Oryctolagus cuniculus: one gene and its partners. The protein of the gene in region 3 purifies or fractionates together with the protein of the main gene of each other region. This does not show direct contact. Links are inferred from orthologs where the notes say so. Each region holds a gene or a part of one and is shown on either strand. Other genes may lie near its edges.

Region 1 (4,086 bases), about 17 Mb from region 3:
TCTCAAGCTCACAGGAACTTCTAGAGAGGCTACCCAGAGTTAAGGAATTTGCTTAGTTCCTTTCTTTGTAAACACGGAACCAATGTTTGAGCAACCAAAATACAGGTCTGAGGCCAAAATCTGTTCATTGCAGATATACTTATTATGTCTCAATGAAATCACAACTTTTCATTATTTTTTAACTGTTTCTACTATCTTTGGTTATCTACTTCTCACAACAAATTAGAACAAGCCACTTAGAATCACCCTATATCAAACTGTTATTGTTTCTTAGCGGAATTCTAAAATATTGTATCAAAAAATGAGTACACATCTAAAAGGTGCCTTTAAAAATTTTCTGAAACTCCAAGCCATTACTGAAAATCGACAAGTTGTTTTAATGTAAATAGAAGGCTTTAGTTTTTTACCCCAGACTAACCTAAAATATTAGTTTATAATTATAGCAATAGCAACAAAGTTATATTTATATAAATAGCAACAAAAAAGCTAAAGCTCCCCCCCATAAAACTTTCTGGAAAATATACATCTGAAAGTGTAATTCATTACATTCCCTTGGAATCGAAGGAAAGCAATGAATACAGTTAAGAACTTCTACAAATACAGCATTGGCTCCATGTGTAAAATGCCAAAAAGAGCTAGAGGAGGAGTATTTCAGTGAAGCTATGGAAAGTATCACTGCACAACTTCAATAAACCCAGATACTTTAAAAAAAAAAAAAAAACTTTAGGTTTCAATAATTCTGGAATTGACTATTATAAACTGAGTTACCATGGCTCCGACACTTATTACCACACAGAACCGAAGTCAATTAGGCAGTTTATGTAGTTTGGTCTGAAATTAAAGACAACTGCATTTTAAACTTTGTCATTCAACTTATTAGTATAAACCCTAGCAACAGGAAAATATTCAAGAATTTCCTTCTATTAGCAGTATTAGCACACAGGGTGTTGCCAGTTACTTCTGAGCACACTGAAAGTTTCTCACACAGAACTGGTATCTCCTGTACCTTTACAAATTCATCACACAGCATTCATCTACATTTGATGAATTATTTTGAAATTACTTTGTGCCACAATTCCGAAAGGACTGGCAACTCTCTTGGTTTCTTAAACAAACTGAAAATGCAGAAAAATTTACAAGATTAAATGAGACAGGTAAAACTTAACATCATCTTCCCTCAAAGGTACCTATTGATCGAATGATTCTGTTTATTGACCTCCAACTAAATACCATTTAATCCTCAGGTATTTATATCTATTATGGAGGACGAAACAGAGTAATGTGCGCAAGGTCATACCAAATAAGTGCCAAAGCCACAGACGGAACTCATGTCTACTTAACACCAAGGCCCCGATCTCCAACCAAAATAAAAATCAAATATTTTTTAAAATAAAGATAAGCAGCAAGCTGCTGGTTTCAACTTGACATTACGACAGTCTTAACGGTGTATGGGGGCGTGACAACTCTGGAACACACGCAGCAGAGTTAAACTCGGGGCATTTTTCATTTCTTGGGATAAAGCTGAATTGATTCCAACAGAGCGCGTCTTTTTGCAGCCACAAGTAGAGAAGATGGCATGAGATTGGGTCACGTGGACTGGAGCTCTTAAGACTTTACAGAAGAAATTCAGAGTTCGTATTTTATGTTCGTTTCTTTCCCCTAAATTGCAAGTATTGGGGGGGGGGGGTGTCCAGGGTTCCAACCCCTACCATTCCAAGGCTTCCAAAAGAGGGACCCGCGCAATCTGGAGTTGAGTCCGAGCCCGGATTCGCAGGGCTCCGAGGCACACACCTCGCCACCAGAGTTCTCGGAGTGTAATCTGCGTGTGCGTGTGTGCTGGGGGCCAGGAGGACGGCAGAAAACCATTCGAGACGTATGCAAACAAAAGGGTTAACCTTTCCAGAGAAGGGGGCAATGAACTCATTTTCACCACTCACTCGGCCACAGACGGAACCTGATCCTTCTTTTTAAGGCCCATCAGCTCGGGTTACCAACTCCTAGCCCTCCGCGCCTAACCAGCTCCACGTCTCCGTCGCCCTCCCCCACCTGGGCACCCGCAGCCGCGGCCCGGGCTCCACCGCCGGGGCTGCCCGACCTCCCCTCCCCCTCAGCCCCAGCGCCACGAGCTCCGCGGCCGAGGCCTGCGGGCCCCGCGGGCGTGCGCTCCACGCCATCTGCCACCAGGCCTCCGGCGTCCGGCCACCGCTCCCCGAAGCTCCCTGCTACAAAGCCCCCGGCCAACTCTTGTGGGGCCGGGTCCGCCGCACACGCCGCTGGGGCCTCCGCGCCCTCGGGTGCTCGGCCCCGCGCGCAGCCGCCGGCGCCCCCGCGCTCCCCGCCGCGCGTACCGTCTCCTCGGGGTCGATGTCGATCTTGAAGGTCTGCTGCTGAAGGGTCTTCAGGGTGACCTGCATGGTGCCGCCGCGCAGCTCCGCTGCCGGGCCTCCGCCGGGTGCTGGCCGCTGGGCGGGGTCTGTGGCCTGGCCCGGCCCTGGGGTCGCCCGCGCTCCTCGCGCTCTCTGGAGGAAGGCGGTGGGGGTGGGGGCTTGTCACATTCGCCCTGCGGAGCGGCCTCTCCCCCAGTCCGGGCCCCGGGCCGCGCCGCTGCCTCCGCGACTCCGGCCTTTCCCGCGAGCTCCGGCCGCCGTGCTTCCTCACGCGCCCGCCGCCAGCCCCCGAGTCTGCAGGAAGCGCGAGGGGCTCTGTGAGACCTGCAGAGAATCCGCTAGCTCACCACAGGATGGTGGCCGCCATCATCGTGACTCGCCGAGACGTGCCCCCTCCCCCACCTGAAAAAACCTGGGGGATGGGGCCGGGCGGGCGAAGCGCGCAGGCGCAGGCTGCGACGAAGTAGTGCGCAGGCGCGGTCCAGAGCTCCGCCCCGGAACTGGGGGCGTGGCGGCTTGCGGCTCTGGAATGTTGGCCGCCTGGATCGGGGTGCGCAGGCGCACGCCGTGGGCGTCCGGTGAGCTTGGGGCGTGCTCGCAGGGTTTACAGCCGGGGCGTTCTTCCAACCGGCTGTCGCTCCGCCCAGGTCCAGACCCCACCCAGCTGCCCGAATTGCGCAATCCGTAGCTGGGGAAGCGCTACGTGGAAACCTGTCTGAGTAGATGCTGAGCCTAGAAAAGGAGAGGTAGAAGGCGGAGTGAAAAGTGGAGGGATCGCGGGAGCCGCAGTCCTGGGCCAACACTTGCGGGGCGCTTGCTGCCGGGGTGAGCCTGTGTGTGTAATCGGCTGATGCTTAATCCTGAGGGCGCGGACTCCAGAGCGCGACCGCCTGGGCTCACACCGTGCCTTTTTCTCCCTGGCTTTGAGACTTGAATCTCCACAGGCCAATTTGAAACGCAGGTGGTTGTCTCTCCAGTGAGCAGACGTGTTGACGAGTTCCCTCCTGGCCCTCTCCGAGTAAAAGTCCAAGTCCTTAGAACTGAGTGCGTCGGCCCGTCCTGCACCGCCACAGGGCTGTCTGTGCCCTTGCCATCACTTCCCCTCCTGCAGCTCTTCGCTCAGACTCGGTGAGGTCCATCCTGGCTACCCTACTGGAAATCACAACTGTCCTAGCTCCTCTATCCTGATCGTTTTTCCCATAGCGTGTATCACCTAATCTTACCATCTAATGTACATGTTTACTGTGTGTATCATCCTTCTCCCTTTCCATTAAGCCCCTGACTGAAGCTACACAAAGGTGTGGATTTTGTTTTGTTCCCCGGTGTATCCCCGGCACCTAAGAAACGCGCCTGGCACACTGCAGGCATACAGTGAATATTCGTAAAATGGGTACCTGTGTTTCCAGCTCCTCAGCACTAACGTGGGGTACTAACAGCACCCAACTCGTTGGTTATTGGAGGGGAGTTCAATAAAGTATGCAAAATCTTAATGTAAGGAGCCTAATCAACAGTCCATAAGCGGTTAGCCATTGATTACATGTCCATTTACAGGGGCAAAAGCTGAAGTACAAGGCTGTTGAGCCGCGTGCCTGTAGTCGGCCACCTGTGAAGTGGCAAACCAGACTCGACTCTGAACTGGGCCAGAATGACTCCAGGAATAGGGCTCCCTGGAGCACGTTTGACTTAAAGCGATTCGAGG
Region 2 (4,103 bases), on a different chromosome or scaffold from region 3:
AAGAAGCTCCTGGCTTCAGATTGGCCCAGTGCTGGCCGTTACAGCCATTTGGGGAGTGACCAAGCAGACGGAAGACCTCGCTCGCTGTCTCCCTGTAACTCTGCCTTATAGATAAATTAATTTAAAAAAAAAAAAAAAAAAACTACACGCACATTCCTTCTAGAAAAATATACAACAGGCTTAAGTTGAGCTCAACAGGATAAAAATAAATACCTAAGATCACAGAACACCATAACAGGAATGGTTCCCAGGAATTATTTATTTCAATTTTCTTGTTTCACTCACAAGAATACTAAAGTGCATGATTAAGCTTCCCAAAGTTGCAGATATGGGAGAAACTAGATTTTATTTTCATTACTATTTTCCATTCTGCTACAAAGTGCTAAACATGACCACTACTCAGCTATCATCACAGATTTTGGCATTATTTAGATGTTAACTTATGCAACATACAAGGCTTAAAAAACAAGCACGACTATAAACAGGTGACCTTAACATGACTTAAGAGAAAAAACACACCCAAGACCACAACACGTCCCACCCAACAAGTTCAAAATGTCACACAGTGCAACCACAAGAATCAGTTCTCTGTATTTAATCACCATTCCAAAATAAAATTCTACCTGATAGCATTTCTCGCTGGTTAGATATATATATATATTAAGCCACTAACTGCAATCCTGTCCCAAACACCATGTGCTGTCTCCACTGTATTTTTAGCCCTTTCTAGGTAAGAACTTTTGTCTATTAACAGTAACAAAACTGTAGGTGCTAATTTACCAGACTTGTTAATAACATCACTAAACAATCCTTATCTAGGCCTATGTAGATTGCAGCTTCATAAATCCAAACCAGATACGTCTTCACATTTTAGCACAGTTATATACTGTGCCTCTAAAAGAAGCTGTTTGTGTCACCCCAAATGGTATTCTCTGGCAAGTCTAATACAAGTGATTTAAATAGGAAATTAATGGAACTGACAAGGAAACTTTATTGTTACTGTGCCTGAGTAATAACACAAACACCTAGAAGGCGCACTTGAAAAAGTGTTCAAATTGTAATTGTTTATAAAACATTCTTCTGTTTTGACTGACAGAGGTTCTTTTCCCTGTTACATTCCTTTCCTCCACAATCCTTCCACGGATCCCAACAGAGTACAAACTTTACACTCTGGTCAGGAAGAGAGCTGACACTTTTGTCATTTTATGGTTGCTCTATGAAGGGGAATACTGTTTTAGCTTTGGTTCTTAATTAAAAAGCTAATTATTCCCACCTGTCTTAATTAAAAAGCTAATTATTCCCACCTACACCCCCCTCCAAAGAAAAGAAATTTGTCAGAGGTCCCCTAATAACTGGCAGATAAGAATCATCCTGTGAGGGTGACTATTGCATTACAAAACCCTGAGTCATCACCCAGTTCACTCAGCAGATTTGGGTAAACATTGAGTAAGTGACTTATGTCTTGTGTGTTCATCTACCAACATTCACACGCATGAACACTGTTAGTAGAACCGTATGCACATTAACCAAACAAGATACAGAGAATGTTTTCCAAAGTTCTGACACTGAAAATACCCCTCTAGTGAACAACCTCCCTAACCTTTTGCCCGCACACTATTTTAACTGGGGGTGTTTGGGTCCCCCCCCCCCGACCGTAATTTCACTGACACTATAGGTGGCAGCTGGTTTTTAGAGACGATGCCAACAACACAACTCCTGCAACTAATTCAGTAATCTGCCTTCGTCTGAGCGCCTTAACAAAGCACTCAAGTTTGATGCTAGTATCGCCCAGCACAACCTGACACTGCATCTATTTCTCGGAGTATCGCAAAGGTCTGGCGAAAGGAAATGTCACAAGAGGAATACCGCACACTTCTCTAAGGTTTCAGACAACACTCTCAACACTAACGTCCCATGGTGGGCCCAAGAATACTCTGAGGGCTGATTTTCAACCAGTCTTCTCAATCAAATCCACTGAAAGTGAGCAGACCCACAAAGCAGAACCCAGCAGTGTTTCCCAACGCCCTCCTTCCCATTCAGAAAGTTCCTAGACGCGAACCGACACGAGTAGAGGCGGGGACTGCAGGGGAAGGAAGAGGAGGAGGAGGAAGCACGAGGAGAAGCAGACAAGTCAGGAGTTCCTCTCCCGAAAACCAAGGCTATCACCCCGCCTTCCCCATACGCAAAGCCCCAAAGAAGGCTTTGCGAGACGGCTCCTCTCTCCCGCGCCGGGCCCCAGGGCCCGAGGGGCCGGAAGACTACAACACCGCCGCTCGACGAGGGACAGCTGGGAGGACGCAGAGGGCGGATGAGGTCCCGGGAGGTCCTGGAGACCGGTCGCAGGAAGGAGACCTGAAAGCTTTACAAGCTGCTGTCGCAGGGGGGACAGCTCCGTCCAGGACAGAGCATTAGCTAGGTCCAGCAGCCCGGACAAAGAGCTAGCCCCCTCAACCCACACCCCCACGATGCCCTCCCACGGAGCCTTGTGCCCCGACCCATTTCGCAGGCCTGGGAACACTTACGTGGAGAGTTTCCTGGTCCAGAAGAGGCCCCCGGGCCACAGCTCTTGGAGCTGCACGGCCCGGCCCAGGTTGCTTTTGATCTGGGCCAGCTGCAAGTCGGACTCGGCGTCCAGCCGCTCGGCGTAGGGCAGCAGCTTGTTGTACACGATCTCCTTCTGCGGCACGAAGCCTCGACAGCCCGGCCCGAGACGCCCGCCCGGCTCCGGGGGCTCCCCGCCTCCCGCCCGCTCGGCCGGCTCCATGAGCACAGGGACACCCCCCCACCCCCTCCCACCCTAGCCCTCCCCGGCCCCCACCCCTCTCCGGGCTCCGCCTCCTCCGCGTCGTCGGCGCCCCGCGGCCGCCGGCGGCCCGTCACCCTTCGGCCCGACCGCTAGGCCCCCTCCCCTGGCCGACGCGCAGCTGGGCCCCGCGCGGTCTTCGGTTCGTTGGCGACGGCAGCGGCCGCTCTGCCCACCCCGCACCGGCTCGGCTGGTGACGCTGCAGCCGCCGGGCCCTGAAGTTCCGGACGGGCCTCAAGTCACTTCCGGGGCGGGGCGGGGCGGGGCGGGGCGACGGCGTCGGAGGAGGCGGTAGCAGCGGCGGTGGCGGCGGTGCGCCCAAGGAGCCGCGCCTTCCTCGCCGTGGGCCCGACTTGGAGCTCCCACCCCCGGGCCTCACCGGCCGGGCACGAGGCTTCCCCACCGGAAGCACGAGGCCGAATTCCAAGCTATTGTCCTATCTCGCCTGGTATCGCGCGCTCCTGGCGGTAGCCTAATCGCCACAGCCTCAGGCAAAAGGAATTGGCCTGGGCCCGCAGGCAGAGGAACTAATGCCTCAAGGATACAAGCGGTTTTTTTGGAAAAGCCTGCATACCCTGTATCTATCCAACCGGTACCTTACAGATTTTTTTACTCTGTCTGCTTTAAACTAAGCCCCTATCTTTCTGACCAACATCATCCTAACGAAAGGGATGATTATTCAACAAATATTAATCGAATGACTATTTTGTGTGCCAGACGCTGTGTCTAGGCTCTTGAGATGGAGGCTTTAAGAGCACCTGGTTTTCTACCCTCCAGAGATTTACTGTGAAGCGGAGATATAGACCAGTGAGTTACAAGAGAAATCTCTTAATGACTATGTAAGTACAGGTTGCCTAGGGATCTCTAAAGAGAAGTTCGACCTGGAGATGTGTCCACAAGTAGTTTCCTCGAATGGTAAATTATGCTGGAAGGTTGACAGCAAAGTAAGAAAAGGAAGGGAGACTTTTCATATTTCAAGTGAGACGACAGCTCTAAGGCTGAAAGCGGTATTGTAGGAATTTGAAGAAGTTTATGATGGCTGAAGATTGTTCGCAAGAGGGGACAGTAGAGAAATGAAACTGAGGAGGAAATGCTGGAGGATTTAGAGGCTTATCCTAAAGAAAAACTTCTCAAAGATTTCGTGCATAGGAGTGGCATGATATAAATTATGTTTTTTGAAAATTATTATTTGGAGACAGAGACATAGAACCCGCAATCACTGGGTCACTCCCCCAGTACCAGAAGCAGCAGCAGAAGTCAGGAGCTGGCAATTCCATCCTGGTCTCCAAGGTGGGAGGC
Region 3 (3,500 bases):
GTCAGACAAAGAATCTTTATTTGCTGCTTTACTCCCTGAATGATGGCAACAGTGCAGTCTGGGCCAGGCTGCAGACAGGAGCCAGGAGCCCCATCCTTGTTTGCTCCGTGGGTACAGGGACCCAGTCCCTTGCACCATCTAACACTGCCTTTCTAGTGCATTAGCAGGCAACTGAATAGGAAGTGGAGGAGCCGGTGTTTGGACTGGTGCTCTGGTGTGGGATGCCAGCATCGCAAGTGGCAGCTTAATTCACTGTGCCATGGTGCTAACCCCTAGGGGTGCACAGTTCTCATGTGAAGGGCCTGCGACCCAGGAAAGTGTAAGAACCGTTGATCAGGGGGCCGGCGAGGCGACTAAGTGGGTAAAGCTGCTGCCTGCAGTGCCCGCATCTCACATGGACGCTTGTTCGAGTGCCAGCTGCTCCGTTTTCAATAAAACTCTTAAGAAGCTCCTGGCTCCTGGCTTTGGATTGGTGCAGCTCCAGCTTTTGTGGCCATGTGGGGAGTGAACCAGTGTTGGAAGACCTCTCTGTCTCTGTCTGTCTCTCTCTCTACCTCTCTATAACTCTGCTTTTCAAATGAATAAATAAATGTTTAAAAAGAACCATTAATCAGTAATATAATTTTTGGTGATATCTTAGCATTTCCTTCTGTAGACGCTTTACACTTTAACCCGTTTCTGAACATTAATGATAATTTCCCATTTTAAGGCATCTTCTAAGATATTAGTAAGGTATTCTAGGAATAGTTTGAAATATTGAACATGTGTGGGCTTGTGTAATTAATTCCTGAGGCTGTATTCTAGAATAAATTCCTTGATCAAAGGTATGCATTTAGCACTTTGCCAAAACTGTCCTTGAGAAAGATTGTACTAAGTTGTGTCCCTATCAGTAATGCATGAGAAAATTAATATACATATATATTTTAAAGATTTACTTACTTACTTGGAATGTAGAACTACAGAGAGACAGGGATCTTTCAACAACTAGTTTGTTCCCCAAATGGCCACAATGGCCAGGGCTGGTCCAGGCCTAAGCCAGGAGCCCAGAACTCCTGTCACATGGGCCATCTGCTGCTGCTTTCCCAGGCACATCAGCAGGGAGCTGGATCAGAAACAGGACTCAGACTGGCACTCCAGTGTGGGGTGTTAACAACGGAGGTGGCAGCGTAACTCGCTGCACCACAGCCTTCGCCCTGGGTTTTTAGTGATTGTGTAGTTGTAGGACGGTATCAGTTTATTTAGCTGTTTCTCCCTCTGCTGTTTGCAGATTTTAGCCTCATGAAGAGTGCTGCAGTGAACATCCTTGGGCTTTTATTTCTGTATAATTTGTCTGGTTATATTCTTGGAATAGGGCCCTAGATGCAGAATTTCTGCACTGGTTGTGAACGATTTCAATAATATGCCAAAACCTCTTGGATTCTATAAAAGGCATTGAGCAGATTATATGTGAACTTGGAGGAGAACTGGCTGATTTTATTTATTTATTTATTTGAAAGTCAGTGTTACACAGAGAAAGAAGGAGAGGCAGAGAGAGAAAGGTCTTTTATCTGCTGGTCATTCCCCAGTTGGCCACAGTGTCCAGAGCTGTGCTGATCTGAAGCCAGGAGCCAGGAGCTTCTTCAGGGTCTCCCACGTGGGTGTAGGGGCCCAAGGACTTGGGCCATCTTCTACTACTTTCCCAGGCCATAACAGAACTGGATCAGAAGTGGAGCAGCCTGGACTTGAACTGGCGCCCATATGGGATGCCGACACTGCAGGCGACAGCTTTACCTGCTACGCCACAGTGCTGGCCCCTGGCTGATTGTTTTTAAGTTTCCGTAAATACCGTGCTCAACAGGCAGTTGGTGTAGGAAGTGGCACTGGACTGGTGGGGCCGTGGGGCTGGTGATTCTGGCTGCCCCTCCCAGAGCACGGGGCTGTGCTCTTGACCCTGCTGCTGGCTCAGGTGGCAGTTCTTGCCCCTGAGCCTTTAGCCTGCTTCTAAAGTCCTTTCCTGTTCTTGAATTTTCCATTTACTAGCGGGAGGTTCTCTCTGAAATACTTAGAACAATTTGACAGTCAAGGGACAAGGGAAATGCTGAACTTGGCCATTGTGTTTGCTGGGAATGCTTCCTGATGTGTTGCTGTCTCAGTCTAAAGTTAGGGCTTTGGTCCTTTGCCTGAGCATCACTGATGATATTATCTGGCAAATCTAGCACATACGTGTTAGTTTCTGTTTTCTCCCCAAAGAGCTAAAGGCTCACGGTGGAGAACTTCAAATCCTACATGTTTACCTGGCATAGTAATTCTAGTGGTCAAAAATGGAACCAGATACAGGGAAGGGAATCTATAGAAATGGAAAAACAGCCAGGTTAAGGGGCCAGAAGAAAAATATGTGTAAGTTAAACAGAAGCAGGATGAGGTGGGAAATGTATTGTTGATGTTCCTGAGGGAGTGCAGCTTTGTCCTGTGGGCAGTAGCAGTGGCTTTTATAGGCTGCCAGGGAGTTATTTTTCACTTCTCTGAATGATGCAATGCTCCCCCCTCCTTTTTTTTTTTATTAATTATTTATTTATTTGAAAGAGTTAGAAGGAGAAGCAGACAGAGAGAGGTCTTCCATCCGCTGGTTCACTCCTCAGTTGGCTGCGATGGCCAGAGCTGCACCAATCTGAAGCCAGGAGGCAGGAGCTTCTTCTAAGTCTCTCACTTAGTAAAGGGGCCCAAGGTCTTGAGCCATCTTCTGCTTTCCCAGGCCATAGCAGAGAGCTGGATCAGAAGTAGAGCAGCTGGGACTTGAACTGGCGCCCATATGGGATGCTGGCACAGCAGACGGTGGCCTTAGCTGCTATGCCACAGTGCCGGCCCCAAGCTTTCTCTTCTACTCAGCATGAGCTTGTATCTGTGATGATCATTTGGTGGATGTATTCAAAGGCAAAGCTGTTTCCACACAAGCTGTTTTCCTGTTGAGTTGGTGGTGGGGATAGTTGTTAGGTCAGGCTAAGCTCGGCCATGCTGCAGTGTTAGCTTTGAAGGGAGCTCATCTGCCCACAGAAGTGAGAAGGGAAGGGTGTGCCAGACTTGGCCTGGAGACCCTTGTTGAGCACATCCTGTCTCTGGGTTGGTTTCCTCTCTAAACGGGACCAGCAGTGCCCTGTTTTAAAGGGGGCTGGGAAGCTGAGCAGCGGATGTGTTGGAGTGCCTCATGCAATTTACAGTTTATTTTGGCTGATACTAGATGTTCAGCTAATGTTCTCTTCCTCCTTGTGTTCCCTCAAAACATTAAAAAATGCAACAGTGTTGTCTGAGCCTGCATTTTTGGATTGTTTGTAGGAGTGTTCTGTAGACTCATGTGTCTTTTTCTTGTATGTTCTCTGATCACAGGTATCAAGGTTACATTGGTGCAGCCCTGGTTTTAGGAGGAGTAGATGTCACTGGACCTCATCTCTACAGCATCTATCCTCATGGATCTACTGATAAGTTGCCTTACGTCACCATGGGTGAGTGTGATGTTTCCCTGACAC
Region 4 (4,274 bases), on a different chromosome or scaffold from region 3:
TGCCCTTGGCCCCTCACATAAGCGTTGCGGATCTCCATGACCATCAGCCGGATGTCCCGGTACTCTGCCTCGTCCAGCTCGTGCACCAGCTGCCTGTAGTCACCCTGTGGAAACCCAGCAGTCAGGCCGGATGCCCAGCGCGTCCCTTCCCACGCACCCTGACCAGGGCCGCACCTACCACATGGGGCTGCTTGGCTGCTTTGGCCACCGCATCTCCGCGTTCCAAGAAATACCTGTGGGAATTAGAAGTGTGCGTGGAGTGGGACAAGACGGAGGGCACTCATAGGCCCATGTCCCAAAGCAGAGGGTTTGGGTGTGGGCGGGCGGCCACTCACTTGGATATCTGCGTGTGGAAGCCTTCCAGCTTGGTGTGAAGGCTGGTCATCAGCTCAAACACCTTCTCCTGGGGACGGCAAGTGAGGGCCAAAGTGGAAGGAAGCCGGGACTAGAGATGAGGGCAGGGCAGCAGGGCAGTGCTCTCACCTGGACAGCCACTCCGAAATTGTTGCCGTCCTCAATCCGGGGAATCTGCAGCTGCAACCAGGTGGTGACCTGGGGGAAGGGAAGCGCATCAAAGCCACATCCGGCCCCCCACCCCCACCTGGCCTCCTTGGCCTTGCTTGCTGCCCATGCTGGGTGGAGGTAGGCCAGGTCTATCCTAAGCCTCATGGGCCTAGGCTGCTGACTTCACCGGCTGTGCCCTCCCTTTCCTGCTAAGACCAGGCAAGCGGCATAACCTAACTGGCAGAACCAAGAGGACAAAGGGGTCGACCTGAAGCCAGGGGCGGAAGGAGCAGGGCTCACCAGATTCAGCTTCTCGATGACGTCCTTTATCTCGGGCTTTAGGCGCTGCAGAAGGCCTACAATCTTCTCATTGCAGTTCACTGGGCCACAGGGAGGACCTGGTGAGTGGGCGGTGGGTTACTCACTGCACTGAGCCTGTGCCTGACAGGAGAGCCCCTGCAGGGTGGTGGCCAAGTCCCTGCCCACCAGAGATTTCTTTTTTGTTCAAATACCTTTATCTTCATCATCCTCTTTCTTTTTTTCGTCTTTGTCTTCCTTCTGCAGGGAGAGAGGGGTCCCTGGGAGTCAGACCGCAGGAAGGCAGGTTTTCCCTGCCTGGTTGGGCCCCTCCCCCCCCCCCCGGGGGGGGTTCCCAGCTTGCCCCCTGCTGTTTCTTTCGCTCCTCCTTCTCTTTCTCCTTGGCCGGGTCAGGCATGGGGATGTCCAGGGGGGCCTTCAGGTTGCTCAGGTTGACTTCATTGAGAGCCGGCTCCTGGCAGAGGGTAGGAGGAGAGCTAGAGGCAAGGTGTGTGTGTCTCTCTCGCCTCCTCACTCTCAGGGCCTCGCCCTGACTCCCGTCCTCTGGGCCCCTTAACTCTCCAGCTCCCTGGCCAGCCCCAGTACCTTTAAAAACGCATCCAACTCAGAAATCTTCTTGGGGAAATAGTTCCCAAGCAGGCTCTCGGTCTGTGTGTGAGGTGGGGGTGGCGGAGGGTGGGGGTGAGACTCCGAGTGGTCCCGGTTGGGTCGGAGCTGGGGTGTGGCGGGACGGATCTTACCTTGGCACGCAGGTCTTCACGAAACGCATCCACCTGTGGGGCACAGGCAACCGTTCAGAAACCTGGCTTTAAGGCCGGTTTATTGGAAGGGAGTTCCTCTAGGGTTGTGGCAGGTCTGACCTGGGGAAGGGTGGGGTGTGCTCTCTGAGGCCAGATGGACCCCTGTGCCCGTGGACTGGGACTAAAGGGGTGGACCTCTGCAGTCCCGGGCCCCCTGGGGTTGCATCTGGGGATTGAGAGCACTCCTGGTGGGAAGGGTCTCCAGGGTCTCCTGGGCTATGCTGTGCATGTGAGGAGGGGAGTAGGGCAGCCTCAGCCAGTGGGACCCAGCAGGCACTGAGAAGCCAGGGGCAGGTCCCGCACCAGCCTGTGCCCCCCGCTCCGCGCACGCACTGAGGAGCCAGGGGCAGGTCCCGCACCAGTCTGTGCCGCCCCCCCCCAAGCCCCGCGCAGGCACTGAGGAGCCAGGGGCAGGTCCTGCACCAGTCTGTGTGGGGCCCCCGCCGGCAGGCTTCCCCTCTCCGGCTCTCTGCTTCACTTCACCTCGCTGGACCAAGGCCGCCTCGCCTCTCCCCGAAGGCAGACCTCACCGGTCTCCCCGGGGCTCAGGTGCTGGGAGCACCGAGGCGGCAGGCATGACCGACCCCTACTCAAGTGGGGGCTGGGGGAGGGGGCGGGTCGGGGGCTCCCTCGCCTCTAGGAACCACGTCTCCCTCTAATCGGCCCTTCCTCGACCCCGAGGCGCTCACCTTGGCTTGGGCTTCAGGCTGGACCCTGAGCGTGGCCATGGCAGGGCCGGGGGGGACCTGCTGCCGCACGAGGAGCGAGGAGGAGTGGGCACCGGGAAGAGAAAGCGAAAGCGGCGCTCGCCACCGGCACGGCCTTCCTGGGTAGTAGGGAGTGGAGGGACTGGAGGAGGCGGGGACAGACCAGACCGGGGAGACGGCCGCAGAGGCGGGCAGCCCCGCGGGGCTCCCCCTACAGCTCCCTGTGCCCGCCTGTCCACGCCCCACCTTGCCCCTCCCGCCCCCCTTGTCCCCGCCTCTCCCCCCCACCCCCAACTCCTCCATTGGCCTCTCTTCCGCTGCTGCGCCTGGCACAGGGATGCGCCTTACTCCGTGGGACGAGACCTGGCTGGCCGCTCCTTGCTAGCCTTCCCAGCCAGCGTGGGCACCTGCTCTCGCCGGCATCCTGTGGCCCGACACCCGGACGCTGCTGCTACCCTTCACCCGAGCTGCAGTCCGCTAGGCTTGGCTGCTGCTGCGCGTTCGCCTCTGACCGCCGCAGCTTCCTGTAGACCTCCCACCTGCTCCTCTCCAGTCACCTGCCTTCCTGCCCCCTGGCCATTCCTCCTGAAGGGCCCTTCCCACGGCTCTGGTCATTCAGCTCTCAGTTCAAATGTCACCTCCTCAGAATTAAGATTTAAAAAAAAAATGTATTTATTATATTAGAAAGGCAGAGTAACAAAAAAATGAGAGAGAGAATCTTCTGTCCCCAAATGCCCACAACGGCTGGGGGTGGGCCAAGAGGAAGCCAGGAGCCAGGAGCTTCTTCCGAGTCTCCTACGTGGGTGCAGGGGCCCAAGCACTTGGGCCATCTTCTACTGCTTTCCCAGGTGCATTAGCAGGGAGCGGGATCAGAAGTGGAGCAACCGGGACTCAAACCAGCATCCCTGTGGGATGCCAGCATCACAGACCGCAGCCTAACCGGCTGTGCCACCTCCAGGTGGCCAAATCAGCCTGCTTGAGTACCTTCACAGCATTTCTCTCTCTGATATTAGCTCAGTGTTTTGTTTCAGGATTCCACAAGCTTTTTCTGCCAAGGGTTAGATAATATATATTTTAGGCTCTGTGGGCCTTACAGTGTTGGTAACAACTACTCAACTGTGCCATGGCAACAAGAAAGCAGTCATATGTCCATGAATTAGTGCGGCTGGTTCCCGTGAAGCTTATTTATGGACACAGAAACTTGAGTCCATGTAATTTTCGTGTGTCATGAAATATGATGGTGCTTCAAAAGGTTTGTGGGAAGATGGAATAAAAAAATGTTTCTTTTGGTGCAGAAACCTTTGAAATCCATTAAAGTTTTTCACAGTGTGCTGATTCCCCGTGACGTTTTTGATAACCCCTGTCTGTGTAGATTAAAAAAAGTTGCACCAAAGTAAATATATTTTAATTCCATTTTCCTATGAACCCTTTGAACTACCCTCATACCATATTGTATTATTCTTTGATGTTTTCAGCATAAAAATGGAAAAACCGTTCTTAGCTCACAGGCCATACAAAAACTGGCCACAGGAGGGCAGTGTTTTGCCCATTCCTGGTTTAGACCTAGAGCACCCAGACTGCCTCGGTTTGTAACCCTGCCTCCTCTATGTGGTGTTAGCTTTGAACAGATTAACCTGGGTGCCTCACTTTTCATGCCTGCACAATGGAGACACTCATAGCGGGGCTGACAAGAGGACTAAATGTCTTAATTTATATAAAGAATTTATAGACGCTCAGAACAGTGCCTTGGCACAGAGCGAAAGTGCAGTTGCTTGCTGTTATTATCTGTGCGTCTGACACCTGCATAGACCCCCAAACAGCAGGAACCTCGTCTCTCTTATCCACATGGCAGGGAACTGTGCTTGCCTCGATAAACATTTGTTAAATACATGAGGGCACACACACCCCCACCACGGGGCAGACAGGGTAGAAAGGGGTCCCAGGA

What was found. Proteins that work in one complex are often made in the same cells at the same time.
Region 1: the proteins of PSMB7 (region 3) and RAD23B fractionate together in Homo sapiens (co-fractionation; 3 studies listed by BioGRID, with this or other methods). This does not show direct contact. The link is inferred for Oryctolagus cuniculus from reciprocal best matches to the Homo sapiens genes PSMB7 and RAD23B.
Region 2: the proteins of PSMB7 (region 3) and PSME4 purify together in Homo sapiens (affinity purification with mass spectrometry; 3 studies listed by BioGRID and IntAct, counting the BioPlex papers as one, with this or other methods). This does not show direct contact. The link is inferred for Oryctolagus cuniculus from reciprocal best matches to the Homo sapiens genes PSMB7 and PSME4.
Region 4: the proteins of PSMB7 (region 3) and PSME1 purify together in Homo sapiens (affinity purification with mass spectrometry; 5 studies listed by BioGRID and IntAct, counting the BioPlex papers as one, with this or other methods). This does not show direct contact. The link is inferred for Oryctolagus cuniculus from reciprocal best matches to the Homo sapiens genes PSMB7 and PSME1.

The regions. Positions count from the first base shown.
Region 1 is NC_091432.1:211,021,845-211,025,930, reverse strand, and holds the start of RAD23B (UV excision repair protein RAD23 homolog B), read right to left. Parts: upstream 2,801-4,086; 5' UTR 2,415-2,800; coding exon 2,349-2,414; intron 1-2,348. UniProt on the Homo sapiens protein: Multiubiquitin chain receptor involved in modulation of proteasomal degradation. Binds to polyubiquitin chains.
Region 2 is NC_091433.1:148,747,137-148,751,239, reverse strand, and holds the start of PSME4 (proteasome activator complex subunit 4), read right to left. Parts: upstream 2,801-4,103; 5' UTR 2,765-2,800; coding exon 2,523-2,764; intron 143-2,522; exon of another isoform or gene 1-142. UniProt on the Homo sapiens protein: Associated component of the proteasome that specifically recognizes acetylated histones and promotes ATP- and ubiquitin-independent degradation of core histones during spermatogenesis and DNA damage response.
Region 3 is NC_091432.1:228,297,343-228,300,842, reverse strand, and holds part of PSMB7 (proteasome subunit beta type-7), read left to right. Parts: intron 1-3,360; coding exon 3,361-3,476; intron 3,477-3,500. UniProt on the Homo sapiens protein: Component of the 20S core proteasome complex involved in the proteolytic degradation of most intracellular proteins. This complex plays numerous essential roles within the cell by associating with different regulatory particles.
Region 4 is NC_091443.1:51,061,087-51,065,360, forward strand, and holds the start of PSME1 (proteasome activator complex subunit 1), read right to left. Parts: upstream 2,801-4,274; 5' UTR 2,753-2,800; coding exon 2,737-2,752; exon of another isoform or gene 2,678-2,736; intron 2,573-2,677; exon of another isoform or gene 2,449-2,572; coding exon 2,312-2,448; intron 1,596-2,311; coding exon 1,563-1,595; intron 1,471-1,562; coding exon 1,408-1,470; intron 1,277-1,407; coding exon 1,166-1,276; intron 1,063-1,165; coding exon 1,017-1,062; intron 903-1,016; coding exon 805-902; intron 553-804; coding exon 484-552; intron 404-483; coding exon 336-403; intron 234-335; coding exon 179-233; intron 105-178; coding exon 18-104; intron 1-17. UniProt on the Homo sapiens protein: Implicated in immunoproteasome assembly and required for efficient antigen processing. The PA28 activator complex enhances the generation of class I binding peptides by altering the cleavage pattern of the proteasome.